Linked DNA regions of Rattus norvegicus. The protein of the gene in region 3 interacts with the protein of the main gene of each other region in a pairwise test. Links are inferred from orthologs where the notes say so. Each region holds a gene or a part of one and is shown on either strand. Other genes may lie near its edges. The genes, in order: Cd81, Slc15a4 and Glp1r.

What was found.
Region 1: the proteins of Glp1r (region 3) and Cd81 interact in a protein complementation assay, tested with the Homo sapiens proteins (2 studies listed by BioGRID). The link is inferred for Rattus norvegicus from reciprocal best matches to the Homo sapiens genes GLP1R and CD81.
Region 2: the proteins of Glp1r (region 3) and Slc15a4 interact in a protein complementation assay, tested with the Homo sapiens proteins (2 studies listed by BioGRID). The link is inferred for Rattus norvegicus from reciprocal best matches to the Homo sapiens genes GLP1R and SLC15A4.

What each region holds. Positions count from the first base shown.
Region 1 is NC_086019.1:207,661,093-207,671,721, reverse strand, and holds the start of Cd81 (CD81 antigen), read right to left. Parts: upstream 6,426-10,629; 5' UTR 6,178-6,425; coding exon 6,112-6,177; intron 1-6,111. UniProt on the Homo sapiens protein: Structural component of specialized membrane microdomains known as tetraspanin-enriched microdomains (TERMs), which act as platforms for receptor clustering and signaling.
Region 2 is NC_086030.1:34,704,805-34,714,778, forward strand, and holds part of Slc15a4 (solute carrier family 15 member 4), read left to right. Parts: intron 1-2,063; coding exon 2,064-2,353; intron 2,354-5,300; coding exon 5,301-5,469; intron 5,470-5,833; coding exon 5,834-5,911; intron 5,912-6,171; coding exon 6,172-6,340; intron 6,341-8,053; coding exon 8,054-8,209; intron 8,210-9,394; coding exon 9,395-9,553; intron 9,554-9,974. UniProt on the Homo sapiens protein: Proton-coupled amino-acid transporter that mediates the transmembrane transport of L-histidine and some di- and tripeptides from inside the lysosome to the cytosol, and plays a key role in innate immune response.
Region 3 is NC_086038.1:9,004,369-9,014,342, reverse strand, and holds the end of Glp1r (glucagon-like peptide 1 receptor precursor), read right to left. Parts: intron 9,928-9,974; coding exon 9,867-9,927; intron 9,353-9,866; coding exon 9,283-9,352; intron 9,161-9,282; coding exon 9,072-9,160; intron 8,715-9,071; coding exon 8,576-8,714; intron 7,106-8,575; coding exon 7,064-7,105; intron 4,546-7,063; coding exon 4,378-4,545; 3' UTR 2,721-4,377; downstream 1-2,720.

The DNA.
Region 1 (10,629 bases), on a different chromosome or scaffold from region 3:
AAGAGAAAAACCAAAGGCTGAGGGTTGGGGCTTACTCAAAGCCTTTTGGGTACGTGATGCAAACTGGAAGGTGTACCACAAAATGCCTGCCCACCTAAGCAATTTGGAGGTGCCAAGGGGTTCCAGGAACCTCTCCTGTGATGGCAGAGGCTGTGGAGACCAAAGGCAGTGGCCTCAAGAGGCCTTCCCTGGGCGACTGGGATAAGTCAGAGTTAAGAGGTTCAGAGTGTTTTTAGGGGCATTGGTTAGGTAAAGAGGCTAACTTAGGTGCTGCCTTAACGGGGGTCCTGGCATGTTCATCTCATGTGTTCAAGGCACCACAGGAGTTCAGGACCTGGTCTGGGGCATGGACGATGGGGACAAGGCCAGATTCTTCCCTGAGAGATAATGGATCTTACTCAGGCCTTCCTAGGAGAGGTAAAGACTTGCAGTCAACCAAAGGAAGCTCAGGAAGGAAGCTAGAGAGAGAGGCAGGAATCCTTGCTTTGGCCAGGAAGTATGGTTCCTTTCACAAGGCCCCTTGCCTCAGGAAGCCACTGTCCTAGCATCTAAAAATAGGCAGTAAAGCAAAAGCCTAGCTCTGGGGCCCAACTGATAGCCTGGGGGTGGTGGTGGAAAGGGCTAAGGCATGGCCACGGGAGAATACACTGCTGTCTTGAGGTACAGGAGATTGGGCTGGGCCACTCTACATGGTGCCACACTACACGGCTCCTTCTCAGGCAAGGAGGCTAGAAGTACCTTCCCCACCTGTCCTGTACCTGCCCTCCTCTAGGATGAGTGCTGCAGAGGATCCAGGGAAGCCTGGTACCCAGAAAAATACAAAGGGAGGCAGGGGCTGAGAGTAGGCAGAAGCTCTACATAGCTCTGGCATTACCACCAGCAGCACCAAGAGGCTTCCGTCTGTCCCAGGTTAGGCAGGACCCTCTGTCTCAAGGCCAGGCTGCGGGGCTGACACAGCTTTACAGGCCACTTTGACTATGGAACATGGCAGCACAGTGGAGTGCAGTTCTACCCTATCCCACTGCTTCCTCGAGCGGCAGCTAGTTGCTTAAAAACCTCAGTTCCCTTATCACCTGCAACGGGTCTGATAACAGTCCAGCAGAGTGTTACTTTGGGAGAGCTGAATGAACTGTTATCATGGTCTCCAGAGTACAGGAGAAGACTGTTTCCTGGGGCAAAGGCCAGGCCATTCCCCTAGGATGAGGACTTTTAGCCATGAAAAGTAATGAGAGTCCAGGTGATGGTGGCACAGTACCTTTAATCCCGGCACTTGGGAGGCAGAGGCAGAGGCAGAGGCAGGGGCAGGGGCAGGGGCAGGGGCAGGGGCAGGGGCAGGGGCAGGGGCAGGGGCAGGGGCAGGGGCAGAGAGGAGGCAGAGGCAGAGGCAGAAACAGTGGCAGAGGCAGAGGCAGAAACAGTGGCAGAGGCAGAGGCAGGGGCAGGGGCAGAAAGGGGCAGAGAGGAGGCAGAGGCAGAGGCAGAGGCAGAGGCAGAGGCAGAGGCAGAGGCAGAGGCAGAGGCAGAGGCAGAGGCAGAGGCAGAGGCAGAGGCAGAGGCAGAGGCAGAGGCAGAGGCAGAGGTGGAGGCAGGCGATCTCTTGTGTTTGAGGCTAGCCTGGTCTACAGAGAGTTCCAGGATGGCCAGAAAAGCTCTGCCTTGAAAACAGACAAAAAGAGTTGTGAGGTGAATGAACACTAGTGGGTGGACGGCAGTGATAGTATATGCCTGTCACACTCCACAGTATGTGTTTGTCACACTCCACAAGCCCTTGCAACACAAGGTCCCACTCCAGAGCTCAGGGATGGGCTTCAGGAGGACAGGTGGCCTGAGCTTCCTCATTTCCGCACCCAGCCACACCAGACATCTGTAAATACCATTGGGACCTTACTGCTTAGCTGCAGTACAGAGCCAACACTGATGCTTGACCACGGGTGAAAGCACAGCTAAACAAGTCACAGAGGACGCCACAGACCCACCCTGAGAAAGTGCTAATGACCCAAGCTGACATCGTGTATGGAGTGACCCGTGAGACAGTGCAAGGGAAACACAGGACCCTTGGGGGCCCTATTACCCAGCATCTTCTGCCCAAATTGCCTGGTTCCCAGGCTCTTGGCCTGGATTACCAACTCAGTGCTTTGGGGCTAGAAAACTATGGGTGTCCTGGTTCTAAAGCACCCCCTGCACTCCCATCCCTGAAGCTCTCCCCAGACTCCACATGAAGGAAGGCAGTCTCCCTCTCCCAACACCCCCTTGCAGTTACTTTGGCAGCCACTCCAGGATGCCCACCACCAACTGCTTGATGCCCAACCCCTTGTGAACAGTTCCCTCAAAGGTAGAGCCCAAATAGTTTGCATAACCCATGCTCTGCAGCTAGCCAGGCAGAATAGCTTAGACTGGATCTAGAAGTGTGTTCTTTCTCTCCACCCCCACCCCCGTTTGTGTGTGTGTGTGTGTGTGTGTGTGTGTGTGTGTGTATGTTTGTGTTTGTGGGGGAGGTACTAGGGGTCACAGTCAGTCACTGGCGTGCCAGGTCAGAGTACTAAACAGTTGAAGGTTACCAAAGGCCACTTCTCGGGACACCTAATTCTCTAGCAACAGTCCTAGGAACAAAATGGGTACCTATAGGACCACCCAACACTCACACTATGTCCTACCTGATTCCCTGGTGTCAGGGCCATAGGTACCTGAACCCTCTCCCACGAACAAGGGTGATTTCCTGTTCTCTCCCTAGGGCAGCTGGACCCTAAGCCTTTTACAACCGAGGTTCCAATCCCTTTGGCAGGGCTCTGGGTGCAGGAATCAAGGTTGGCAGTTGTTGGTATGCCCCTAGAGCGTCACAGAAGCTCTGTGTGAGGTAGGACGGAGCTAGAAGGCAAGTGCAGAGAGAAAGCCAGAAGGGTCCAGAAAGAATGGGGTCTGGGCTCTTACTATGAGGGGGCAGTGTGTGGAAACCAGAGTAGAGGATATCAGGGGGCTTCCCACTTCTCTACTCTAGCTCTGTGCCCCCCACTGCTCGGATGTCCTTTTGTGAAGCCAGTCCAGGGATGAACCAGACTTCCCCCTCTCAGGCAGCCCAACCCAATGATTGTCTTTCCCAAAGCCAGGCCAGCAGACAGCCTGGGGAAATGAGGGGAAGTCTGTTCTTCCACTGGTGAACCTAGGCACAGGAAGTTCTCATTCTACCCTGAGCCCACAGGATTGGAGCCCCTCTGCCGGAAGGAAGGCAGCAGACCGCTGGGTGACAGACAGTCATGTTCAGTCTGGAGAATTAAATGCCAGTTAAGAGGCTGTAATCAGCCTTTTGTGGTGGGTCTGGCTGCCTAGGCTACTGGAAGGGGGCCACCAGCAGCCTTAGGCTGGAGGAGCAGCCAGTTCTGTGGGGGAACACAGTGAAGATTGGTGGCAGCCTCCTCCCCTTAACTGACTACTCCTATGGAGACATTATCACACAAAGTTCCTACAGACCCACCCCAAGCTATAGGCTGGCAGAGCGATAAACCATCCCCTGCTCTCTTGCCCTATTCCCAGCCGGAGTCAGGAGACTGGTCCCTTTACCCCCAGACCTGTCTCAGGGACAAGTAACTACCCTACTTCTAAGAGCATCTTACATGGTCTCTGCTGCACACCACTCATTTTTCAGGTTTGTGACCTGCCCGGTATATCTTGGGAGTCTAGAACTCTGCCAGGCCCTGAGTAGGTTCTGAACTCAAGCCCAAGGAGGACTGGTGGGAGTGAGAGTGTGCAGGCAAGGGTGCCTGGAATGTCCCCTCCCACAGAGAAACCTCTTTAATCTTCAAACTGGAAATTTTAAAAAGTGTCCATCGAAACATTTACTGTCAACCGAATCTCCCTACATAAGAGCTCTTAGCCCCCATACCCACCACAGGCCCACAGGACCTCTCAGCCCCCTCCCTAGGCACTTCTTACTTCATTGCTCAGCTTCTCTTGGCCCCACTCCCTCTTGGATACTGTGCCCAGCATCCATTTCCTGAGCCTTCTCTGCGCCAAGCCCCTTGTTCCACTCTGGAGTGCATTAGCTAGTCTACCCACAATCCCAGGAGACAGAGACCCCAAGAACTCTCACTTTAGAGGGGAGAAGTGAAGACCATGGACCAGAGTGATGGGGTGGGGTTCCCCAAAGGTTCAATTTCATGACATCAGGAACTATAGTCACAGGACAGACCTTGCTACATGGGGCACAGAAGGAGCTCCTCTGCCAGGGTGGTGTTCACCAGATGTAGCCTGGCTCTGCACCATATCCTACTCACTGTGGGGCCAACATGGGTGGGGAGGAGAGGGCTATGGGATTGTGAAAGGATACAGTTTTTGCTGTTCTGCAGTCAGTAGGCAGGCCCCTGGGAGCAGGGAGAGGCTTTAGAACCGTTTCCTGGAGCCTTGATAGAGAGTACCCCAGGGACATGTTGGCACTCCACCCCAGCTGCCTGGGAAACAAGCAACCTCACCCAGCCCCAGCACTCCAGGGAGCCTAGGGGGTTCTGCCAGTTGGATAAGGTGGGTGGGCCAAAAAAGAAATATCTTGCAGGGTCCTGACATCCCACATCTGAGGTGTAACGGGGGTGGGGAGGTGGATAAAACACTTCTTGGGAGTGCATTTAACTCCTTGCATGGTTCAGAGTAGACAAACACTATCCAACATGGCTACCCAGTCAAGAGCCCAAGGCATGCCCGGGCAGAGCAAGTTTAGCCCCATCACCCACGCTGCTCCCCTCAGTGTGTTCCCTGGAGTCACTGTGACTGGTCCCTGCAGCAAGTCGTGCAGCATACATAGCTCCAGCTGAGTTTAGTCCAGTCCCTGCCCATCCCTCACATCTTATTACCCTCCACCCCACCCACACCCCCCCTGGGATCGTCAGCAGTTCACGATGGAAAACAGGTGTCCCCTGTCTTACACACTCACTCTAGGGGCTGTCTTACAAGTTTGCCCTCCCAGCTTCAACTTTAGAGACACACTGCCTTGGCATAACCTCATTTCTTTCTGGGAAGGAGGGTGGTGGGAAGAGCAGTCTGTGCACTGCAGTGGGGAGGGTGGCACCACTGTCCGGAGGAGTGGCCAGCACTGCCCACTCAAGTCCCCGCTGGCAGGTCTGTTAAGACTCCCCATTCCCAACCTAGTCAGGAAATGGAAAGAAGCCCATATGTAAGTAACCAATGGTTACTCGCAGCAATGTAGACAGTCGGGACCCAGGGACACTTGGAGACCCTCCTATACCCATGTCTCCATTCCAAGATGACCACATGGGTGTGCACCTCTTTCCAAAGTGGAGAGCCCAGCTTAGATTCTGTATATATGAAAAGATCCCAAGCCCCTGGTTTGTACAGACCCAAGATCATTGCACCACCCTGGCCTGCACCAACTCAGAATGCCCTCTTCCTTTCAAAAGACTCCACAGGATCTTAAGGGCCAGGCTGGGGCTGTAATCTGTGCAGGAGACGACAGACAAGGAGGAGGGGCAGCTGGGGGGATGGGGGTGGAGGTGGTTAGGAACTGGGGCACAGTGAGCAGCAGCACGCGGCCCGGGCCACCCTGCCCTCTAGGTCTGGAGCTCGAGCATCCCAGGGTGGCAATACCAAGCTAGAGGGTAAGCAGGGGTGGTGTAATAGTGGGGTTGATATCTCCAAGGCAAGTATGGAGTGCCCCCACCACTTCGAGGCCGCCTATTCAGGGGCGGTGGCTACGATGAGCTCATGGGGGCGGGGCGCCAAGATCCCGCCCTTCTCGAGCCCCCTCACTGCTCGAGAAGCAGGATGGTCCCCAAAACAACGTTCAGGAGGGTGCGAGTACCCCCTTCACAGCTGAGGGCTCTTGATTACCTGGCTCTAGCCCGCAGACTCTTGCACCAGTTCCCAGCACTCAGAGGGGACAGGCGAGCGAGCCTGATTTCCCGGCCCCAGAAGCCCCTCGAGCGGAGGCCCGGAAGCTCAGCTCTCGGCCCTAACCCCGCTGGCGAGGGGCGCCAGGACCCCAACCGGCGGTCGGAGCCCACAGGTGGCGCCGCAACTTCGCGGTTGCGCTGCGCCTTCTCAGCTGGGCCTAGCGCGCTGCCCGGCCTGGCTGCCGTGGGGTGCGCCCCGTCCCCAGTGGCTGCTCACCCAGAAGACGAAATTGAAGACGAAGAGCAGGTATTTGATGCATTTGGTGCAGCCTTCCACCCCCATGGCGGCGCGCGGCCTGCGGAGCTTGGGTTGGTCCTGGAGCGGGCGGTCTGGGGACGCAGTACCGGAGTCCGGGACTGGAAGATAGCCTGGGTCGCTTGAGGGCCGGAGAACTGCGGTGCGGCTATTGAGACGTAGGGTAGAGAAGGGTTGGAGGCCTAGCCGGAGGCGCTAGAGTCGCTACCGCTTTGAAGCAAGGGCGCGCTCGCTCAGACCGGGCGCGCGCCGAGCTCTTCACTCTTTATAGACCGCTAGGTCCGGCCCCTCTGAGGCCCCGCCCCTAGGACGCTCCGCCCCTGGCCCCGCCTCCCGCCTGCGGGGTGCCCGGGCCAGGGGTGCTTGGGTGGGTGCTGCCACCTCAGTCCCAGAGTAAGTGTTCGGGAACTCGGTGCAGCTGGTTCTTGGGGCCTGGGTGCACTGTGCCTGCGCAGGATGAACCTCCAGGTTTCCTGAGGGTTCCCAACCCTCGGGGCAGGTCCCTGGGTCGTGACTGAGAATGGCACCCCCCCCACACACACACACCCCTCCCCGAAGAAGCCCCACTTACTTCCTCCTGTACTTGCCTTGGACTTTCCCAGAGGGTTCTCTAGTAGAGGTGTCTCGACAAAAGGTCTTGAAAGTTAGCATGTTTTGTTTATAATGATCTCCCAGGCAGCAATTCCGTGGACTTGAAGGTCTAGAATGGAATTCTTTGTAGCATTGCTAATCCTCTATCTCTGCAGAGTCCCTGGCTGCAGTTCTGGAGAGTGCGTTTGGGAAGGTCAATAGTGTACCCAATGTCTCTAGCCAGTCTTGTGTCTGGAGAACCCTCAGGGGCACCTTCAAATACAATATTCATGCCATTCTGGCTGTGCCTTCCAAGAGTCCATCCTCCATCCTCTGGCTGGTTTCCTGAGAGTTGGGATTATAAGGAAGTGAGGAAAAATTCAGAGGGTGGAGGTGCTCCCTTCCCAGGTGAGGAATGGCTGCTGTCGCCATAGATAATATTCCTGTGAAATCTTGGCACTCCCTTCCCCAAGCTGGAAGGCAATGGGGCTTCTTCATCAGCAGGGACTCACTGGGAACCACAGAAAGGCCAGTTCTCAAGACGCAGCCTTTTCCAGTTCACTCCATGTTCTTAAATCTTTGGGCAGTTAAGGACATGTTCCCTATGGGAATCACATCTGGCACCCCTCTGGCTACAGGCACTGGAAATATGTTCAAAAGGAATACATATATATGTAAAAGAAATGAATATATGTAAAACAGAGGAATATATTACAAAGGAATGTGTATATATATATATATATAGAGAGAGAGAGAGAGACAGACAGACAGACAGACAGACAGAATATCTCACTATGTAGCCCTGCCTCCTGGAACTCACAGGGCTCTGCCTACCCCTGCTTCTTAAGTGCTGAGACTATAGGTGTTCAGGACACCATGCCCAGTAGTCTAAAGAACGAATTTGGAACTTTGTATAATATACATGTAAACCTGATGATTGGCCAGTAGCTTCCCGGGTGGAGTTACTCTCTCTACTCTGCTAGGCTAGTAGGTTTCTTGAGTTAATTTGTACATTTGGCTTCAGGCTGGTATAGCTGCTGGTATAGTAAAGGATTTATGGTTCCTGGAGGCTGACGTGGTGTCACAATAACAGTAACTCAAGCTACCAATGCTGGAGTAATATCACAATAAAAGCCATTTGAGTCCCCAGGAGGGAGTCTCTGAGGATTCTTTATTATTCTTTTTATTAAAAGGGGGACAAGAATAATTCTTGCATGTGCAGAGATGGGCACCTATTTTCTCATCAGCTCTCCACTGTCTCTAGTGATGGGGATGCCTCATGCCTAAAGTGGGATTACACATTGAAGGTCATGCAGGGCCAGCTGTTTTGTCTATGTACAGTGTGAAACATCTGGGTTTTAGTGGATGCCATTGTGTTCCCAGAACTGCTCCTAGTGCTATGGACAGCCTAGGAGCCAAGGCTACTACTCTCTTTGAGGCCCTTAGGCTCTGGTCACATACGTGCCAAGGAGAGAATTTCCAAGATGTTTGACCAATCATGGTGGGGAATTTTTTGTAAAGCAGTTTTCCTCCAAATTAAAACATTCCTTTCTGGAGGGAAGGTATTAAGACTTAGGAAATGAACAACTAACAAGTTTCAGATGTTCCTGAAACTTACAAGGCCCTTCCTCTCTAAAGATAAATAATTAGGAGGACAGACAATGCTTTGACCTATTCAAGTGCCTTTCTCCAGGGTTCCAGCTTTTGTGAACCATCACCTATGCTGAAGTTTTTGGTGATATAGCTCCCTTTGAGTTGTCTCTGATGCTGTAAGTAACCCCTCGTCCATACTCCTGAAATAGCCCAAATCAACTGATTGGTTTACCAAGTTGGGCTTTGGTAAGATCTTTCTCTGGTCTATTGTCAGTTCCCTATCTGGAGTGAATGGATGTTTATGTTGCATCTTCCCAGGAAATAGGAACACATTTATTAGACCTGCACTATGTGTCTTAGAGGAGCTAAGATGGCTCCAGACTCTCACACCTGAAAAGCCTTGTGAAAAGGGCGAGGTACAAAAAAAGGAAGCTTTTGAACCAGGAACAGATATAGACTGAAGAAGGCCAGGCAGGTCTGAGTTAGGTGGAAGGCAGACTTAGGCTGCATTCTGTTCCGATTGAAGGGGTTGGTGTAGGGAACAATCTCATAGGTTCCAGGAGACTTGCTGAGATGGCTGGTTGGTTGCAAGAGTATGTGGGACTGCCTTTCAGGACCTGCACCTGTGAGTACCACATCTTAAGTGCCTTGCCTAACATCCTGCCAGTCTGGCCTTATGAGGTCATGGGGGGAACAAAGAGGCCCACTTGGTAGGACATGTGTCCTACCCAATGTGCACCCAAGAGTGCATCAGAAATTGTCCTCTGTGGTTAGCTCGGCCTGAGCTTTCTGGGTTCCAAGAAACCAGTGATGGAGGCAGATGTGCTGTGTTAAGGAATGGGGGAGGAAGCCCAAGCCCAGGATAGGAGGTTTCTCTTTGCTTTCCCTTGTCCACCAGGAAAGTGGGAAGAACAGGTCTTCATAGCCAGGGCTTGTCTCAAAATTCTCCTGACTGTATGACTTTGTACTGGCTTCTCAGTGTCCCCAAGTGTGACAGAGTTGCTGCAGAGAGTCTCTAAGTGCATAAGGGCAATATGTCCTTGTCACTTACAGCAGGGCCTGGTCTGTGGGAAAGTCAAGGTCAAGCCCTTTTTGGCCCAGTCCCAGAGTCCTGTGACTCACTCCACAGAGGAGTCCTGCTGTGTGCATTTGGCAGGAGGTAGGGGATTTTGTTGCAGAACCACTCTTGTTTCTTAGTTTCCTAAAATTTGTGAAGACTACCCAAACTGGGCTACTTATGTAGGGCTTGCTCAAGCAAAGAGGTTGGCCGCTGCCATTACTTCTGCTTGCTAGAAATTCATATGCAGGTCAGGGAGCAAGACAGCTGTGTACTGAAAGATCTCAGCATCCAAAAACAGCCGAGCAGTGCCAGAGAAAACTCTTGTGAGCATCTCCACAGTCATAGGAAATGCAGTTCTCTACTTTCCAAGCGCCACAACTCTCCTGATAAAATACTTCATTCAACAGCAATAGAAGGGGATCTGTCCTCCAGACCTGAGGAAAGACTGAAGATTCATACAAGTCCTGTACCTATGTCTTCTCGAGGAAGACTGAAGGCTCCTCACCCACAAAATCCAGGCAAAACAAGATGAAGTGAACAAGACAGTCTTGGCATTTCTCCCCAGGGTTCTGGGAAGGATGATCCGGCAAGAAGGAAAAATGCCGTTCGGGATTGGATGCTGGTAAATATTTAAAATCTCCTGTGAGACAGGCATGTTGTGAGGGAGTTTCTAGACTGGGTTGACTGAAGAGGGAAAGCCCACCCTAAGTGTGAGCGGCACCATTCCATGGACTTGGGATCTATACTGAATAAAAATCAGAAAAGTGAGCAGAAGGCCAGTAGTTTATCTCTGCTTCCTGATCCTGGGTGTTATGTAACAAGCTGCTTTCCCTATTGTTATGAACTATACCCTTGAACTGGGAGCCTAAATAAATCTTTTCTTCTTTACGTCACCTTGTCAGGTATTTTCAGCACAGGAATGAGACAAGGCAATGAACAGTTGTATGAGTAAACGTGTTTAACAATGTGGCAGATAAAAAAAATCAGTATGCAAAAGACAAAACGCATTTCTATAGACCAGTAGTAAATAATCCAAAATGGAGTCTAAATGATGATCTCATTTAGAAAAGGAGCAGAAAGAACAAAACATCAAGGGATAAAGTCTTGATGTGTGAGACTTGCAGACTTGGAAGAAACCAAGTATCTAACCATATTTGAGAGGATCTGACCTTCACAAGCCAAAGACAAAATTATCATTCAGGTCCTAACACTTCAGAAGTTGTCTGGCTGTTTATGCTAATTCTAAATTCAATTCA
Region 2 (9,974 bases), on a different chromosome or scaffold from region 3:
GAGGCATGTGACAATCCAGTTAGCCGTCCTGTGGCTACTGAAGCACTGGGAGTAGGCCTCTGTTTATAAAGCAGCTGTGTCTGTAACCCTTGGACAGTAAAGTTAGACCAAGTTCTCAAAGGACATAAGGACTTTAAAGGTCCATATGTCAGGTCAATTGAATGGGTATTCCCTTACTGTTTGGAGAGAGAGCTGTTTCTGTGAATGTGGGAAGATGTGTGTGGTTCTGTTATGAGTAATGGGGAGGGCCTGGGACATTTCAGTTAGTATCTGTAATGTTTCCTGTAATGTGCTGAGCATTGTGGTGCATATCTGTAGTTCTAGCTGCTCCAGAGGTTGCGGCAAGGGGATCATACAAGCTGGGGAATTTGAGACCAGCGTAGGCAACTGATCCCATGTCCAAAGAGGTGTGCTTTTGTTTTTGTTTCTTGTGTAAAGTGTCCTTTTTTCTCTCAAGGTTGTGAAAACAGTGACATATGTTTGTGTATATGGCGTTTATACATTCAATGTATGAAGTGTATAAATAATAAAGTATACGTACTTTGAGTTTTATCTTCTCTATTGCTCATGGTTTTTCTTTTGGCCTGCCTCCACTGGTCATGAACATTGATATCCACCATTGGGTAACATTTAAAGACATCGTGTCCCAGCCGTAAACTAAATATAAACTGTTCTTAGTGATGTCCACCTTTAGAATGGGGCCTTTGTTCAGAACTGATGTGTAGGCCAACAAAGTGCTTGTGGTTGTTGGTCAGTTTGGGGGCTGGAAATGGCACTTAGTGGTAAAGGACTAAACATCGCAAGGACCTGTGTTCAAAATAACCCTGAAAAAAGAAAAGAACAAACCAACAACTTGGATTTTTCAATTTAATGTGATTGTAACCATCTAACTGAATTCAAACACTGGGCTTGCCAATGTAGTAGCTGTCATTGGAGTCTAATAACTGTCAGGGGATACTCAGTTTACACCCTCACCTTAATCTTAAAATACTCTGTGGGGAACCATGAATGCCAAGCAGAAGCCTTAACACTTGGTAGCTTTGTTACTGTTTAAAGCTTGTTTCTAGGCAAGAGGCACTTGCTCTGTGGACCAGAAGATAGATATAGAGCCAGTTTTTAACCTTTTCCATCCATTAAGGATGTATGTGCTCCGAGCAGTCTTTGGCTGTGGGTTTGCTCAAGACAGTTTGTGAAATGAGACTGCCCAGAACCATGTTGAGTTGGATTGGGGCCATTCTCATAGTGTTCATGGTAGATGTAAACAGTACAGGTGGGAGAAGCAAGGTTAGGGCTGCCTCTGCCCAGATACCACCAAGTGGGGTCTTCAATGTGTTGATGAGATTCTCTGTACAGCTCAGCCAGGCTCCAGCTCATGAGTCCCCTGTTTTTTGTCTCTTTAATGCTGGGTGTGCACCGCTGGGTAACCTTTCTAATCTAATGCTAGCTTGTGAGCTTCTCTTACTGTGCTTACAGCTTAGTTGTAGGCTTGCCAAGGACTCTGGTGCTTGGGTACCATGCAGGAGTTGTGCCTTGCCTCCGAGCAAGCCTTACTATGCATGGGGCCAGAGCCTGCGTGGCAGGTTCTCATAGTATTCGTGTTAAGTGCAGTAAGGTCTGGAGCTCAGGATTGCATGATGATTCTGCAGGACTGGACCGGGCCAGGCTGTGGTTTCTGGACCCTATTTCAAGGATTATTCCTGGTGGCCTCATGGTAGATGGTCAGCTTTCTTTGAGCACTAGGACTTGCTGGCATTTGGAGAGGCACCCAACTTCTCTGAAGGACTGAATGTGAGATGACTTGTCAGGAGACTGGGTGAATCTGTAAACAGCATTTTGACTGTGTGCTATAATCAGCTGAGAGCAAGAACTTGAGATCCTGTGTATCTGCTCTCAATTTATAGATGATCAGGTGCTATGTAGGTGTGGTGACAGGGCTTATAGCTACTGTGGGTGGTTGGGAGGTCATTACATATGAAAACACTATGGCTTGTCGTGTTTAAAGAGTAAACAGAAAGTGTAGAAGATCACATTTTTTCATGCATTTCTCTTCTCTCTTACTTTAGGTCAAAGATCGAGGTCCAGAGGCCACTCGGAGATTTTTCAATTGGTTTTACTGGAGCATTAATTTGGGAGCAATCCTGTCATTAGGAGGTATTGCCTATATTCAGCAGAATGTGAGCTTTCTCACAGGCTACCTGATTCCTACAGTCTGCGTGGCCATTGCTTTCCTGGTCTTCCTCTGTGGTCAGAGTGTCTTCATCACCAAGCCTCCTGATGGCAGTGCCTTCACTGACATGTTCAGGATTCTGACCTACAGCTGCTGCTCCCAGAGAGGAGGGCAGCGGAGAAGTGGGTGAGTGACACTTGCTCCCTGCAGAGAAAGTCCCAGCTGAGGGCTGGGCTGAGTGTGGTTTGTGTTTGATCTTTAAGCTGGCTTCATTGAGGAAGTGTGTGGCATAAACCCCTCCATTAGAATAGCAGAGTCCTGAGTTCAATACTCTGCCCAACTCCTTCACTGCCAACATGGGTAAGGGTACCTTGCTGCTGGGTAGCAGATCGTGAAGGTAGGGATCTGCAGAGGATATCATGGAGACATTGTGTGCTTTAGACACAGAAATGTGTTAATGAGAACTTAAGCTGTTATGTATGTTGTAGGTACTTGTCTCAAAAGGAAGCTGTTGTCTCTCACATTGGTCAGCACAGAGCCATGCCATCTACTGTGTAATAGAGGGGCACATAATCATAGCTTGAGATGCACTTGGGAGCCCTTTACCGCTACTTGAATGGGGCTTGTATAGCCTCAGTGCCAGGGATCCCAACCTGGAACTTTCAGAAATACCCATATTCTGAGATATGCCCCCTTTTTCTGCTGATGGTGATCCATGGTCCTGCCCAATGTAGGTTAATGACGTCCAGAAATCAGCCTGCGAAGGACTTAGATGCTTCTGTGTTATGTATAGTACAATGGTTACTCGACTGTGGTTGTGACATAAGAGATGTAGTATTGTAGCCATTAGCAATCAAGGCATAGAAAACCAGAGTCCAGGGACCTTGGTGGTCAACTCCTTCCCTGTGATTTGCTGAACCTAAGGATTCCTGGTAGTTACTGAGAAACGTAGATTCCTTATTCTTAGGGCTTCCTGTGGGATGGCCTTGTTAGCAAAAGTACTCTGCAGGGCAGTGTGCACATCTCCTTGTGTGCTTGTCATAGCCGTACTGGAAGCCGTTTTGTGGCAGACCTGAAGCTGCACAGTGTGACTCCTGTGGCTCTGCTGATGGCACATGAGTCCCTTGGGTGAAATCTGACTGTCCCAACTTCCTTCATGGACCTACTGGGAAGTCTGTGTGCTCTGGCAGCTTTCAGACCCTGTCTGGAGGGGAACTAGCACTTGAGGAACTTGCAAAGCTGGACACCACCCAGTTCCAGCAAACCCTGGTTTTTGCTAGGGCCTTACTTTGTCAGACAGAAGCTTTTGTTGCGGCCCTTAACTGTTTCTAATCTAGATTGATCTCTGTGGGGACAGGACAGCTTTTAGCAGATATCCCTGATGAGAGCCTTTCAGTCAGGGGCCAGCATTGCTCTGGGACCTGTGGGGTTTTGGTGTGCATATGACACAAAAGTAGTGAGACTGAACGGCTTGGCTTCCTCTGAGCTTCAGCATTGGAAATCTCTGGGACAAAACTAAGCAACAAGAGTGGGAAAGGTGGCAGCTACGTTGTATGAACTTGCTGTGGGCCCTGGCTATTCAGAGACTATTAGAGTGTCTGACTTTGATATTTGCTGGGCTGCTCTCAGGATTATTGTGAGGCCTCAGTACAGTGAGGTAAGCAGCCTAGTACCTGATGAGGCCTGCCACATCCTAGGTAAGTAGGAATTTGAAGAAGTTAGAGATGTTCTCAAATGAAGAGAAGTAAGTACAGGAACCCGGGACCCAGCATCCCTCTCACCTAGTCCCTGTGATACTGCGCAGGCAGCAGGGATTCACCTCATCAGATTTTGCTAAAATACTAAATAAGTTATGGTTTTTAATTTTTCGATCTTCTCTGACTTGGAATACAGAGATTAAGAGCATCTGCTTTATAGAACAAAAATAAGGGACTGGAGAGACAGCTCAGTGGTTAAGAGCACCTGCTGGTTTTCCAAAAGACCTGGGTTTGGTTCCCACCACCTATAGTCTTCCACAGCTCTGGTTCCTTGGGATCCATGGTCCTCCTCTGGACTCTGAGGGCACCAGGCACGTCTGCAGTATACTTGACATATATGCAGGCAAGCTGGGTGTGTTGGCACATGCTCTTAATTTCAGAAAGACTGGCAGATCTCTGAGTTTGAGGCCAGCTCGGTGTATATTGAAGCAAGTTGCAGGACAGTGAGGGCTCCATAGTGAGGAAGACAAAACATACATCTACGCCAACCATACGTGCTAAATAGGAAAAAAATCAAATAATCTAAAATGTGACAATTCAGGGAAATCAGGCCTAGGATTATAAACTTGGATGCAAACAACTGCCATTCCAAGGTCTGGAGTTGGGAGGCTCTCAGCGGGGTTGAGTGTCTTATATTGGTTTTGGTTTTGCAGGGAACAGTGCAGTTTCCTACAGTTTCTGTTGGTATTGTGCAGCTGGGGAAGACCGTGTCACTGCCTGGAGGGTCTCATTCATTTCTTTTAAAGACTGCAGATGGAGAGGCAGGGATGTTCATGGTGTGATGTGAATAGGTGTGGTTGTCCAGGCATACACCTGTCAGCCAAGATGGCCTCACTCCAGTGCTGATCCCAACCCTGAGGCACTGGGATCTTGACACAGCTCTTGTCTAATCTGTGTCCTAACCTCCTCTTTGAAATGGGTCAATAAGAGCCTTGCAGGACTTCCAGGCGTGTGAGAAAGATGAATGAGTTCCCCTTCCCCTCACCCTAGTGTAGTGCCCATCATGGGTCTCTTCATCCCAGAGACAGATGTTGCTTTTCCAGCCATCAGAGCACCCTCTAGTCCCTTGAGTGTCTACCTGTTTGATAAGCCAGTATAGTCACAAGAGAAATTGGGATTGCTCAGATTACTGTCGGCTGGCTAGAAGTCCAGGTGACACTGCTGCTCTGTGGAGCTGCGTGAGGTTGACATGCCCTCCTTGTGGGTACAGTGGACACAGTTATCTTTTCCAAGGGCCGGTGCGGAGTACAGTTAGTTGTAGGAGGACTTAAAGCAGGCAGTGCACAGAGCCGCTTTCCCACCCCAGACGTGATTTGTTACCGGGCATTGTTGCTGGGGATGGAAGTAAACTAATTCCTTCATTTTGTTTCCCAAAGTGAAGGCCTTGGAGTCTTTCAGCAATCTTCTAAACACAGTCTGTTTGATTCATGTAAGATGTCGCATGGAGGGCCGTTCATAGAGGACAAAGTGGAAGACGTGAAAGCCCTGGTCAAGATTGTGCCCGTGTTCTTGGCTCTGATTCCTTACTGGACAGTGTATTTCCAAGTGAGTGCTGACCGAGCCTTGTGGCTGATGTCACAGTGCAGGGCTCAGGGTTGTCCATCAGTTGCCATAGTTTCCAGTCATGAACTCAGGTTGGCTGCTTTGTATGGGAAAACCGTTCTGAAGAAGCAGCAGAGAATGGGTGTACTTCTGGTTTCCTGGCCCCTCCAGCTTCTCATTTGGTGGCCTGGAAGCTCTTCTCAAAGAGGCTGTATGGTGACTCAATAAATTCCATGTCTGATTCCAAACTGCAGCCGCCATCTGATTCTAAGAGGAGTTGCCACACCTCAGCTAGAGGAGGGAGGGTGTGTGACGGACTTGGAGAGGCCCTGCTGGCTCACCTGCAGCATCTGCTTTCTTTATCCAGATGCAGACCACATATGTTTTACAGAGTCTTCATTTGAAGATTCCAGAAATCTCAAGTATCACCACCACCCATCACACGGTAAGAGACCTGGAGGTGGCAGGAGTTGTTTCTGCAACTGCAGCAGGTCGCTGCGACTCTGTCACTAGAACTAGTTCCTACTTAGTTACAACCTGCTGAGATTGGGTTGTCCAGTGCCATTAAACACTAGCACTGTTAGATTTAGCCCTCCGCCAGCTCAGAGCACACTTGCGGCCAGTCTCTAGTTGAAGCACCTCAGAGGCCGTGCGTGGGTGGTGTGGGGAACTGCTGTACTGAAGCTAATGCCGCGCTCTGTGCAGCTGCCTGCAGCTTGGCTCACCATGTTTGATGCGGTGCTCATCCTCCTGCTCATCCCACTGAAGGACAAGCTAGTGGACCCGGTGCTGAGGAGACACGGCCTGCTCCCATCCTCCCTGAAGAGGATTGCCGTGGGGATGTTCTTCGTCACATGCTCTGCCTTTGCTGCAGGTGAGCCAGCATTTCTCTTGGCCTCTCCTCCCTTCCGTGTCCCAGTATGGCTTCTGTATCATGCAGAAGCTAGTGTACTGTGCTGAAGACACTGGGTAGCCAGTGACTTCATCTTTTGATGAAGAGTGTTTTACAAGTGTCATTTTCTTCTCAAGGACAAATCCTCATCCTAGGACTGAGTAGACTTACCCTGCGCTGCCCTAGCCTGCAGGCCAACACTTGGTGTGGAGTGGGAATGAGAGGAGGAGATTCTGTGCAGGCTTCTGACTTCACAGTTGGTGAAGCCGCCACTGTCCCAGCATGGAGAAAAGGGGTTTATGGGATTGGTCCAGGCTCCTCGCACACTCCCAACAAAAGTCTCAATAGCTGAAGAGCTAAACTAGTCAGTCACTCAGGTCCCACACCACAGTCCAGCATGGGACAGTGTCCTGAGACACTCCTGTCCCTCCCATTCTTTGTGCTGATGAGGCTGGGGTCTGCTAACCTTTTCAGGAACAGCAGGTGCTCTGAACTGCTGAGCCATCTTCCCAGCCCCTCTTCCTTGTTTAATGGTAAAAAATAACAAGGCCAAGGATTTGCCTGTGGTTACGGCTATACCATGTTTATTGTGCTTAGTGTAGGGTTTCCGCTTTTTATTACTTTACATTTTATTTTGTGCATGTGGGGGAGGAGGAGTCAGACCACAGCACATGTGTGGAGATGAGAGGTGAACTTGCCTGAGTTCTCCCCTTCCACCATGGGGGTTAGAGAGAAAACCCAGGTCATCAGACGGTGGCAGCGCCTTCACCCACTGAATTGTCTGGCCCAGAACCTTGATTTCCACTTGATCTGAAAGTCACTTGGGCCTTTTTAGCATTTCACCTTGGTACTGAGGTTTGTTTTGTAGAGTTGAGGGAGATCGTTAGTCCTGTGTTGGGGGCATGGAGGTTTGTTACCATGGCCCAGTGGTGCCAGCTTGTTCCTGAGGGTTCCAGGTCTCCCTTTCATGTTCCTGCCGTGCTGTCCTTCTCCTGGACCTCCGCATTCTGTGCTTTATTTTAGTTCTGCCCACAGCCTTGGTTTTATTTTCTTGGACTGAGGCAGGTTTTGGAGCTTTGTCTAGAGAACTGGGCCCATTTATTTCAAGGGCTGCACATTGGATAATTCAGCATTTTTTTTCACGTGTATACCCGTGGTAGTGTCTTTGAAACTTTGGTTGCTTACAGGAGCATGGGTAACTTCACAGTGTCTGCACTCATTCTCCCTGGTGACCATTAGTTATAGAGTCTCACGCATCCTCCCAGTTTTAAAAAGACAGGAGGCTGGGGCTGGAGAGACGGCTCTGTGGTTAAGAGCACCTACCCGCTGCTCTTGCTGAGGTCCTAGGTTCAATTCCCGACAACCTGTGGTGGCTTCCAGCCATCTGTAATGAGATCTGATCCTCTTCTGGTGTGCAGGTGTTCGTGCAGATAGAGCACTACTGCTTAAACTAGATAAATACATCTTAAAAAATGAGCAGAATGAATACTTGAGGGTAAAACTGATCATAGTGAGTATCTATAAAATGCTCTAGTGAAGAAGAGGTGGATGGCATGACTGGGACCTGCCTAGGAAGCTGTCACGGTCACCTTCCTTGCTTTCTTGCACCTTTCAGGATTGTTGATAAATTCCTGTAATACACTGCAAACTTAGATTAATGTATTAAGTGCTACACTAACTTGATTCTTTATTCAGGAATCCTGGAGAGTAAAAGGCTGGACTTGGTGAAGGAGAAGACCATCAACCAGACCATTGGTGGTGTGGTCTACCATGCTGCTGACCTGCCCATCTGGTGGCAGATCCCACAGTATGTGCTCATTGGCATCAGTGAGATATTTGCAAGTATAGCAGGTGAGACTGCGTGAGGTGGCATCTGGGCCTGTCTGTATCATACCCTGCACTGTGCCGAGCAGAACCATGGTGCTCTGGTGGGGAGAGTTGTCTCTTAGAGCATGACCCAGTAGGTGGTGTCCCTAGTCCTCAGGCTTAGGCTGCCCTTCCTCATGCAAAACCAGTGTTCTTAAGATATTTTCACAAGTCCATCATGGCCTGCCCTGTGTGTCACTATGGATGGCTCCTGCTAGACCTTTTTGTCCCCAAACTTTGCAGAGCACAGCTGTGCTGCTGGTGCAGGCTTACATACGTGAATAAGCAAATCTGACTTAGAGCTTTTTCTCATGGGCCTCTGTCGCTAGTGATACCCTGCAGGGACAAGGCTTGGGGCAGGTTGGCTCTTGCAGCAGTGGGAAGAGAGGAGCTGGTGACTCCCAGGAGGGGGAGGGGAGGAGGAGGAAGAGGAGGAGCAGGAGCATGAGCATGCTGCCACCTTCTCTTTCAAACCCTGGCAGCTTTCTGTGACTACTGACATGGGCTTTGCTTTCTCTTTGCCCAGCCTGGTCCCTGGGAATATAAGTTTATAGGTACTTGAACCTATTATGCTGTGTTGGCTGTGAAGCAGGAGCCTTATAGAGGCCTCCCCTTAACCCCATTCAAGTCTTGACTTTTTAGGATTTGTTCATTTTATGTGTTGCCTACATGTATGTATTTATACCGCATGCATACAAGTACCCATGGAGGGTAGAAAAAGGAATCAGATTCCTTAGACCTGGAGTTACACACAACTGTGAGTCTCCATGAGGGCTCTAGGACTAGAACCCTGGTCCTTTGCAAGAGCATCTAGTGCTCTTAAATACTGACCATCTCTCCAGCCCCCTAACTCTTGAGCTTTTGAGAAAGGAGCTAACACTGCAGCCTCATTGGCTTCAAACTTGTAGCAATCCTCTGGCTGCAGCCTGTTGAATGCTAGGACTTCAGGTATGAGATACCATGTCTATCTTGTGACAAAACTTGTGAATATCTGACAAGTGAGAGTGCCTTTCTTCCCTGGTGGGTTTTAAGAGCTCATGGGGTTGAGTGGCTGCATCTAGTGTTGACTTCTCCAACCCCGTGTCAGACCCATGTGTACTGGGAATCAGGGCACTGGGACACAGGCTCAGGGTGACCCAGGTGATCTAAGTGTGACCTCCTTTTCTCTAGGTCTGGAGTTTGCGTACTCGGCTGCCCCCAAGTCCATGCAGAGTGCCATCATGGGACTCTTCTTCTTCTTCTCTGGCATTGGGTCCTTCGTGGGCTCAGGACTGCTGGCCCTGGTGTCTCTCAAGGCCATCGGGTGGATGAGCAGTCATACAGACTTTGGTGAGAATTAACTTGTGGAGGGGAGGAAGAAGCCAGAGTGCTTGCTGTTGCTGTGGGTTGTATGAAGATTCAGTCTGTCCCAGAGGCCACTAGCCCAAACCCTGTTGAAGTTTGTGTTGAGTAGCCCTGCCTTGTCAGCAGCTGCTATATCTAGCTTAGCACTTTCTGGAGAGCTGGGTGAGTGGTCAGCCTGCTGTTTGTTTTGGGTTTCAGATGTTAGAAGGTGGGTAGTGCTTTGTGTACACTGTCCTTGGTCAGTCTGCTGCTCCTGGAGGTGGCTTCTGGCTGTTTATCTGGGCAGCTCTGCAGTGCTGTGTGTGAACCAGGGGCTACAACATCCTTTGCCATTTAGATAAGCACAAGTTCCCTATGCAAAAGTCTGTACCCTGAGCATTTGCCCAGCTTTGTAGCATTTAATCCA
Region 3 (9,974 bases):
TCAGGTTGCAATCAACAGTATAGACACATGGCAATGTTGGTAGACGTTTCTCAAACTGGACCCCGCACCCCTCTTTTTTTTAACCAAGGAAACTCATTTGAGCCATGGGGAAAAAAAAAGGTTGAGGTGGGGGGACTCCACCTCGCCACATTAGAGTTGATTCTAATTCCCTTCCTGTTGAATATTTAACATGCCATTTGCATAGCTGTCTTAGCGGAATCGATTCCTATATTTTATTATTTGAGGATCAGGAGAAAAAAAAAACTGTTTGCCTCCTAGGAGCCCGAAGTAGAGTGAGCCCTGTAGATTAGACTCAATTCAGCAGATGGGATATAAAACCTTCGAAACATATTCTGCCTTCCCTGAGCACGTCGCAAGCATTAGCGATAATGGGAACCCTGTCTGCGCGCGGAAGGGAACACATCTGTCAGACTCCCAGCCAGCCCCACCCTGGCTTGTGCAGTCCTGTGACCTTCATGGCGGAGGCAGGCTGAATCTAGTGCCAGCCATCTCCTCACCCTGGCTTGGAATGCACGGAACAAGCACAGGCACACACAGCGTTCTTGGCCTTGACTTGTTAAAAAACAGCCAGCTCAGGCACGAGTGAAGACGGGAGTCTGCTAGTCCTTCAGAGCGCTGGACCATCTGGTGCTCTGTTAGATCTCCCCGGAATTCAGGGAGCACTGGAGAGGGAGAGGTGAGGTGCCCGGTCACCATTTCATTTCTTCCCGGTCACCATTTCATTTTTTTTTTTTTCGGAGCTGGGAACCGAACCCGGGGCCTTGCATTTGCTAGCCAAGCGCTCTACCACTGAGCTAAATCCCCAACCCCCACCATTTCATTTCTTTCAGTCACTTTTGGGTGCCTACCAGTATATTTCAAACAGAGATGAGTCCGAAGAACTTTAATCGTTTAAGGCATTAAACGATCTCATGGCCACACTCTCAAATATCAACCCTGTCCTCTGCTCTGTGTATTTAGTCTCTGAATTTGTTAATTTTTTTTGCAGATTTTACTTTATTTTAATTTTATATATACATATATATATGTATATATATGTTTGTGTGAGGTGTTTGTATGCCACATGTGTACAGTGTACAGGTTCCAGTCGAGGCCAAAGGAGGATGTCAGGTACTGCGTGTGTGTGTGTGTGTGTGTGTGTGTGTGTGTGTGTGTGTGTGTGGAGAGAGAGAGAGAGAGAGAGAGAGAGAGAGAGAGAGAGAGAGAGAGTTTTGTGTATGGCACACATGTGCAGGTCCCAGTGGAAGCCAACAGAGAGTGTCAGATACCCTCGAGCTGAAGTTACAGGGGTTTGTGAGCCTTCTGATGTGGGTGCTGGGAACTGAATGTTGGTCTTCAAGTGTTCACGTACTTGACCACTGAGCCATCTCTCCAGCCTCTCCACTCTTAATTTCAAGAACAAGGAAAGTACTAGAGCGGACTTTAAAACACACCCGGCTTCCTCACACCACCTCTTTGCCACGAGATGGGTCCATCTTTGCTGTTCCATTTCTTCTGCAATATAAATCCCAGGTCACACGAGGACTCGAACTCGGCACGTCTTGAATGACCTCGTATGCTTTCACCTAGCTTGCCCAGAGGCCCAGCTGCACTGGCAGCCTCGTGCAGTAGCCCCCAGCCATCCTTGCAAGACTCTCTCCTGGCTTTTGTAGGCAGGCCAAAGTCGGAGGAACTGTCTTTCCAGCTCACAGAGTGTCCCAGAATCCCATTAATGTTGTCTCCCGTGTGAGGAGCGCTGAGGTGACTGTAATCCTGTCTGCTCTCCACAAAGTCATTCGAACGGGGAGGCGATCTAGGAGTGTGAGTGATTTGCAAAGTTTTGGTGATTTAGGTGTTCAAAGACTGAACTAGAATAGAGGAGTCTTGGAGGAGGTTTCAGCCCTTACCCTGGCCCCGGGAGCTGTCCAGAGTGCTGAAGTCATCAAACATTGACAACCATCATGTAAGCTTGGGGCTGTGCGTCTCCAACAAAGCTACCACTTACGCCCTGTAGGCTAGCAATAGTAGGGGTCAGGGGTGGTCAGAGAGTTCTCAGCAAATGCCTGGCTTAGACTTATGGCTGGAGGCATGTAAACAGTTAGTGGAATTTCAGAACACATAGCAACGGATTGTTCCCAGACCTGGGGGAGCTATATTTAGCTTAAGCAAGTTTGGAAAGAGCTCAGAGGGAGTGTGGTGCCATTCAAAAAAAAAAAAACATTAATAGTACAGGGACTCGGAGAAAGGCAAAGACGTCTGCAGATCAGGAATCTGAGAGGGAAACATGCATTAATAATCTTGGGATGTGGGGTGCAGTGAACCCGAGAATCCAGAGTTCCGGGGGGCGGGGAGGGAGAACTCTGCATTAAGTCTCCCACTGGGTTGCCTAGACTCTCTCAGCATCTTTCCCTTGGAAAATTTATTTCAGGCAGATTATATCTGTCTTTCCCTTTCAGTTGTAATGAATGGTTCTAGAAAGTACCCAGTGTATCCCACGCTTGTCTCTCCACAGTTCCCAGAGTGGGAGCAAGAAAGAGGTACCCGCTGGAAAGCCTGCCCTTTCCTTAGAATGCAGAGGACCCTGGGTCCACTTCCCCCACTGAACTCCTTCACTTGGTGGGGCTGCATCTCTCCTTTCTCTAGCCTGAGGTTCCACTCCCCTATTAACATAGACACAACACTCTGTTGAAGCTTGAAGGATAAGATATTTTCTGCTTGGCATGTTTTATAGCCCATTATTATCTCCCATACATGCCTTATGCCTCTCCAAGGGGCACAGTGTCTAGTGTGAGCACTAGGGAGGGTCCCCCACTCTCCACGGGATGAGGGAGAGATAAGCCTCATGAGAGAATCCATTGAAAGCCACCCCAACCCCAACCTCAAAAGAGATCCAGATGACTAGGATTCTTCTCCAGCTCTTGGAGTCTTTCTTGGCCTCTAGGAAGTCACTGCCTAATTCCCTGGGGAGGCAGTCCTTGGACTTGGGTCTGTGCAGTGGTGTCTTCTGCTAGCCTTCTCATAGTGGTTGGAGGAGGGCAAGCATGATATACCACCCCCCTCCCCCATCCTGGTCTATGTGCTGCTCATTATGTGTGGGTGGAGTCTGGAGGTGGGACAGACGCTACTTATCAACACCGGTGGGGGAGAGGGGGTCAAATCAATCACCTTCTCCCCCACTCCCTCAAACATAACAGTTGCTGTGATCTAGTTCTTCCGTGGGGTGAGAGAAACCAGAATTATACATTTGAATAGACACAGAGTGAAGAAGGATAAAGTCTATATGTGTGCAAAGTGGGAGGATTCAGGGAAGAATCTCTTCTGGGTCATAGCCTCTGAGGTCAGAGGATATAGCCCATTCTGATTCAAAGCATAGACTCTGGTCACAGATGAGGTGTGTGTGGGGGATGGGGGGTGTTGGCAATGGATCCTTTGGTCCTCTTGATTTCAGGTCAACAGCACCCCTAGGCAGGTTACTCCTTTAGATGAACCTTAGAGGGTATTTGAGCATCTTTACAACAGAACTGAGGGTTCACACCTCACCTCTGGGCTTCTCAACTTGGGACCTGCCCTAGTAGTACCCATGCAGGGCAGAAACCAAGAGCAAAGTGGCTTAAAGGACCAGGCAAGAAGTGGGCATGGGCAAAGACTACCTCTGTTGTATCTCCCCCATGCTTATCTTCAACACCATCCACAGATGTTTCCAGAAAGAGCTGCACGGCATGACTTCAACAAACCTCCCCCCTCCCCAAGGCAAAGACAGGATGGCGGATGAACGGGCAGATGGAGGAATGGCGGCACTCCAGATGCACAGAGAAAAGCCTCTTGTCCGAGAGGAAGGCTGATGTAGGTGACAACCCCAGCCGTGCACACAGCACAGCCAGCTCACCTCGATGAGCGCTGTGCTGGCTGAGGTTCCAAGGGCAGGTCTCTCATGGACCTGCCTCCTCTCGCAAGCCCAAGTTCCACCCGTCAGCAATTGCCCTTGAGCGAGAGTTCCGGGGTTGATTTGCAGTTCTGTCCGAGGGAACCCCAAGGGCCTTGCAGCTTTAACAGGAAGAAGTCCTCCTCGTCTTAACAGCAATTGTTTCTTCCTCTCTTCCTGTCGCTGAGATTAAATTAGCAGGCTGTTCTCCTTGGAGAACATGTGTCTGTGGTCCCAGGAGGCACTGCCCGATTGCCTGTTTGATAGGTTTGGAGGAGGAAAGCGTGTGTGTGTGTGTGTGTGTGTGTGTGTGTGTGTGTGTGTGTGTGTGTGCGGTGTGCGGGCACGCACACACATGTGCCTGTATCCCTCATATTCCCTGTCCCCAGGGTCTCTCCCACCTGGGATGGCCACCCAGCCAGCAGCAAGGACCACAGGAAGCGCAGCACTGGGGCTCAGCTGCAGGAATTTTGGCAGGTGGCTGCATACACGCTGCTGCCCACCGTGGCCCCACTGCTGACACTGCTGGTGGGACACTTGAGGGGTTTCATGCTGCTGTCCCTCTGGATGTTCAAGCGCTCCAGCCTCCAGCGCTCCCAGCTCTTCCGAAACTCCATCTGGACCTTCCGTGGGAAAGGAGAGAGGGAGGCAAAAAGCCATCAGGCGAACCAACTGCCCACAAAATGGCCCTGTTATTACATTAGCAGGGAAAGGGAAAAAAAAATCCACTGGATTATATGACAAGACACGAGTCAAGGTCTTCAGGCGCCTAAATTAATATCCCAATAAAATTGTTTATTGTTGTCTCCTATGTTCTGCCTCTCCTCTGGAGAGAGATGGGCTTGATGACCTAATTGGCCCTTTCCATTTCTAAATTCAGTGATTCAGCTAAGTACCTTTTACAATCCATCACAGTATTATTCAACGGAAGAGAAAGAGTGAGGGAGGGAAGGAGGGAGGGAGGGAGGGAGGGAGGGAGAGAGAGAGAGAGAGAGAGAGAGAAAGAGAGAGAGAGAGAGAGAGAGCGAGCGCTGGGGAAGATGGAGTCCAAGGCTCTTCGCCCGGTGGCTTGGACAACTGAAAGGGAAGGCACACCCCACCCCTAACCCTGTCGAGGCCCTCGGTTGTCTAAACTCCCAGAGGAGCTTTTGCTCTGTTCTGTTTGGGTCTGAGTTTATTGTCCTTTGGACTCTGACAGCAAAGTCTCACTATGGAGTCCAGGCTGGCTTTGAACTCTCCACCCTCCTGCCTCCTTCCCCTGAATGTGAAGAAAGCAAGGGGAATAATACAAGGCCTGGATTTCTGTACCTTTGGACCCATCCCATGCAGAGAGACTGACGGGAGCCTGGCTGGGTAATCTGTTTATGTGAGTTCAGCCAACTCAAGATTCCCCATTGTGCAGAGCTCAGGCGTTCCCCAGGGGAGGAGACTTCTCAGCGGGGGTCTATGCTAGAGGATCAGCTGGGGCAGAAAGTCGCTCGGACCCCCACCATCGCTGGTCCCTGAGCTTTCGTGCTAACACTGTGGCTCTATCACAGTTCTGTGGCTCCCGGGCTGTTCTAACCAGCACAGCGTGTCCCGAAGGCTGGATGTCTCTTCTGGGAGCTATTCTTGTTGTCTGATCTTTCATCCAGCCTCTGGGCTTTCATCAGTCCATCTTGGACTGTCTGGGACCGTGTTCCTTTTAGTCCCAAGCCATCAGGAAGGCCGTGGCTGTCTGTGTGTAACAGGCTCCCTGCCAACGTCTCTACCTGCCCCTAGGCAAACACTATTCCCTTACTCTTTCCGAGTCATACATCAAGCCTTAAGCCCAGCCAGACACCCTGTGTGGCCACAAGCCGTCCCTTACAAGAACTTCTGGGCTGAGTGGAGCTAAGATCAACTAGCGCCTGCCTGCCAGGGCGTCTTGGTGTCCCACATGACGTCATGGAGCCAAGGCCCACAAGGCAAGGGAAGGAGGTGGAACAGACACTACCTACAGCTGTCTTGCCTCGCTGGGCTCCTGGAGTGCTGTCAGCTGGGATAGAGACAAAGATGGCTCCCTTCCTCCCAGCTGCAGGAAAGGAAATCTCTCACAGTCTCCCTCTTGGAGGAAGGGAAAGAAAATTGGTACACCAAGGGGCAGCCAAACCATCAGGATTTAGAACACTTGGTATCCCTTCATCCTGTCTCCCGTAGTGTTTTGCTGTTGTTTTGTTTTGCTTGTTTTTATTCCATGATGGTCCCAGTCATCAGAGTTGTTCTCTGTGCTAATAACCCAATGAATGAATGATGAATGAATGATGAATGAAAGAATGAATGGCCTGGCATCTGCACCATCTAGTGTTAACCCTTTCTGCACTGAAGCCTAGCATTGTGTTCCAAGTGCCCTCCCTGACTAAGTACCGGAGGGCACCCCAGGTTTGATAAATCTTTCTCACCTCTACTGACCCCTGGGTAGAAAAGAGAAAGCCCGCAAGGCGGCTAGCCTGACGTCACACAGCTTGGTGGCGCGGAACAGAATGAGCCCTCAGGGCTGCTTGACTACTTCACTTTGCCCCTCTGACACAAGCCACGGTCAATCCATCGCCAGCCCTCCCCTCCCCTTGTTCCCACTACCCCCCGACCAGCAGCTGGTACAGGCCTTGACAACCTCATGAGACAAATGTTCAAGCCATCTTCTCAGGTCACAAGTACCTGGCATTGCCATGGCAACCCCAGGTCTGGAGAACAGCTCTTGTGGGCAGAGGCCACGAGACTGGCTTAGGCACATGTGTGTTGGATCACTCTGCAATAAATCAGGTGCGCCCAACCTGTAGCCTGATGGCCCAGTGCATGTTAGGATAGTGACGGAGGTGGTCCAAATAATTTGTGGATGACAGTGATATGTGGTGAGGTCAGAAGGTTGGACACCCCTGCCGAAATAGTCAACTTTAACCCTTTGATGCAAGGCTAAGTGGTGCCTAAGCTCTTTTTTCAATCTGTGTGTGTGGGGGGGTGGGGGCAGGGAGAGCACAGAATAGAATATAAAGGCAAGATGTCACCTCAAATTTCAGCCATAGTGGAAGGATCAGAAGTTTCAACTAGAAAGACTGCATAGCCCCCTACCAGTCAATGGCAGCAGCCCCCACAGGGTCCCTATTGTCCCTCCTCAGACCTTACCTCATTGTTGACAAAGCAGTACAAGACAGCCACCATAAAGCCCTGGAAACAAGAGGCATGTTAGCAGGAAGGGAGCCCAAAGGAGACAACTGGACAACCAGCCCCTGACACCCCTCTCCACAGATCAGGCAGCCGGGACAGGCTTGGGAGTAGACAAAGGTGGTGTTATTTTTTTTTTTCAATTTTCCAAAATGATTTGTGTGAGTGTGAGTGTGTGTGTGTGTATGTGTGTGTGTGCAAGTGCATGAGCATGAGTATATATGTGTATGTGCATGAATGTGTGTATGTGTGTGTGTGTGAGAGAGGGGGGGGCAGAGAGACAGAAAGGTAGAGTTTATATGCACCTCATGTGTGATGGAACCCTTGGAGGCCAGAAGAGGAGGTCTGATCTGGAGCTGGAGTAACAGGCAAGTGTACAAGAACACACGGATGGGGGTTGGGGCTTTAGCTCAGTGGTAGAGCGCTTGCCTAGCAAGCGCAAGGCCCTGGGTTCGGTCCCCAGCTCCGAAAAAAAGAAAAAAGAAGAAAAAAAGAAAAAAGAAAAAAGAAAAGAAATAAAGAACACACGGATGCTGGGAACCAAACCTGAGTTCTTTGCAAGAGTCAAGTCCTCATAATTACTGAGTTGTCTCTCCAACAACGTTTGCATCATCTAATGCTAATGAAGAGGACTGACTCCCTGCTTTGAACCTGTGTGATCCCTGTGTGGTACAGCTAGCTCTTCTAACAACATATCCTTCCTGGAAGAAAGGGGGAGGCTCATAAGACCCAGAAAGGTCCTGAAACTTACAAGACTCAGGAAGTTCAGAAAGATACAAGGCCCCTCCATCAGGTTCTATGAGCAGTCAACAATTGCAGAGAAGAGACTCTGCTCCATGGAGCTGCCGGCCAATTGTGCAGGGAGCTCCAGAGCTGCAGCTTCTGTGAGTTATCAGTCATGGTGGGGTAGGCTTTTCAATGATGCAGCTGTCTTTGAACCACCCATGCTCCTGTATCCAACCCCAACAAGCTCATTGGTTCAAATGGAACTCGGTAGACTCATTTCTCTGGTTGGCTGTCAGTACTCTGTCTGGGATGAATATGTCTGTCTGTTCACGTCGCCCCAGGAAAAGCTCCAGAACACCCCGTAAATCTTGTTTTAATGTCTCTGGGCCTCAGTTTTCTGTTATGTCAAATGGGAACGATCTCTCAACTGAATGTATTGTGTGTATAAATAAATTGCCTGGCAGAATGCTAGTGGATGGCCATGCCTTTCTCTATATGCCTAGACGCCCAGGTCCACATCTGGGAGGTCTTCTTGTCCTATGGATTTCCAGAGAAGACTGGTTTATACATCCAAATACCTGGGAGCAATACACTCGCTCTGGCTCTGCTCCCACTGTGAGACTCAGGGTCAGGATGGTTCTCCCAGGTCTCGGCCTACCCATTTCTCTCATTTGCGCCATGCAGGCTGGTGCCTGACCCTCCCTCACTTTGGGACATCCCAGGCAAGCGGCCCCAGCGTTGGGTCACCTGGAAGGAAGTGAAGGAGAGCTCTGTGAACAGCTTGACGAAGCGTAGGGTTCCTCGGGCGTGCTCGTCCATCACAAAGGCAAAGATGACTTCATGCGTGCCCAGAAGCGGGATGAGCGTCAGAGTGGACTTCGCGAGTCTGGAGAGAGGGCGAGACCGCTAGGGTCATTCTGGGCTTGTGCAGGCTGTTCCTTCTTCTCTGCATCCACACCACCACCATCATCACCACCTCCCCATTTCTGCTGAGTCACGGACGCTCTTCATTGAAATACCCCGGGGCTGGCTGCCGGGGAGGGGTTAGGGATGGGGGAGGGCAGAGGGCAAGACTTCCAAAGTCCAGGGGCTGCTAAGAATAGAGTGAGGGGAAAGGTCAGGGGTTATAAACCAGGCCCGGATGCAAAAGAGCATCACACAGGGTTCCAAACAGAGAACCCCAGAGTCTCTCTCCTGGAAGGGAAGGCTGAGGGCGCCCCTGAGGCCAGCTTGGTGAGCGTACCTGCATTTGATGTCGGTCTTACACATGAGATTAGCCTTCAGCTTGGCTATCACGATGCAGATGACCCGGATGAAGATAAGGAAGTTGACCTGCAGAATGTACGAGCAGGAGGGTCGGGACCTCTCGTCCTCCTTCCCGGTCATTAGCCTGGTCAGGTCACAGTTCGGGCCCACCAGCTTCCACTCCAAACCCCCAAACTCTTGTCGCTTACCCCGATTGCAAAGAGAATGGGCAAGCGTATGATGAGCCAATAGTTCATGTTGGAGTTCCTGGTCCAGCAACTGGGGAGGAAAAGGGGACACACGAGGCACCCAGCTGGACCCATGGAGCCCTCGGAGGCCAGGACAGGCCAAGCAAAGTGCTACACCCAGTGGCAGATCCGTGCAGAGCCCTATGAGGGCATCCCATGCTCCCCCCCAAGTCCCAAATCCTCGATACATCACGGTCAATACGCACGGAGATACCCATGCCTCCCCCCATCTTCACAGACCTCTGCAAACAGTCACATGCCCACCCGGCTTCACGCACAGAACAATGGGCTAGTCATTCTGATGTTCATAAAACCCATCAGGGAGGCACCATGGACTTCAAAGGTCAGAAATATTGGTCATCCTACCGTACCAGGGCAGGTTCAGGGAGTGGACATTAGCGACTGAATTCATGTGCTAAACTCCTGCTGACCCCATACATCCTCCCTGACAGGCAATAAACGTTTGCTCCAGGGTTCAAGACTCCCATAGCTGAGAAGCACGAGACCCCAGCACATCACTCTCCTGCAGCAGGACACTCACTCACCCCTCGTCCTCGTAGAGATACTTGACAATGCCCCAGGGGATAACGAACAGCAGCGGAACTCCTAGAGGAAGGAGGCAAAGACAGAGAGGAGATCAGAGCTGGCAGGTC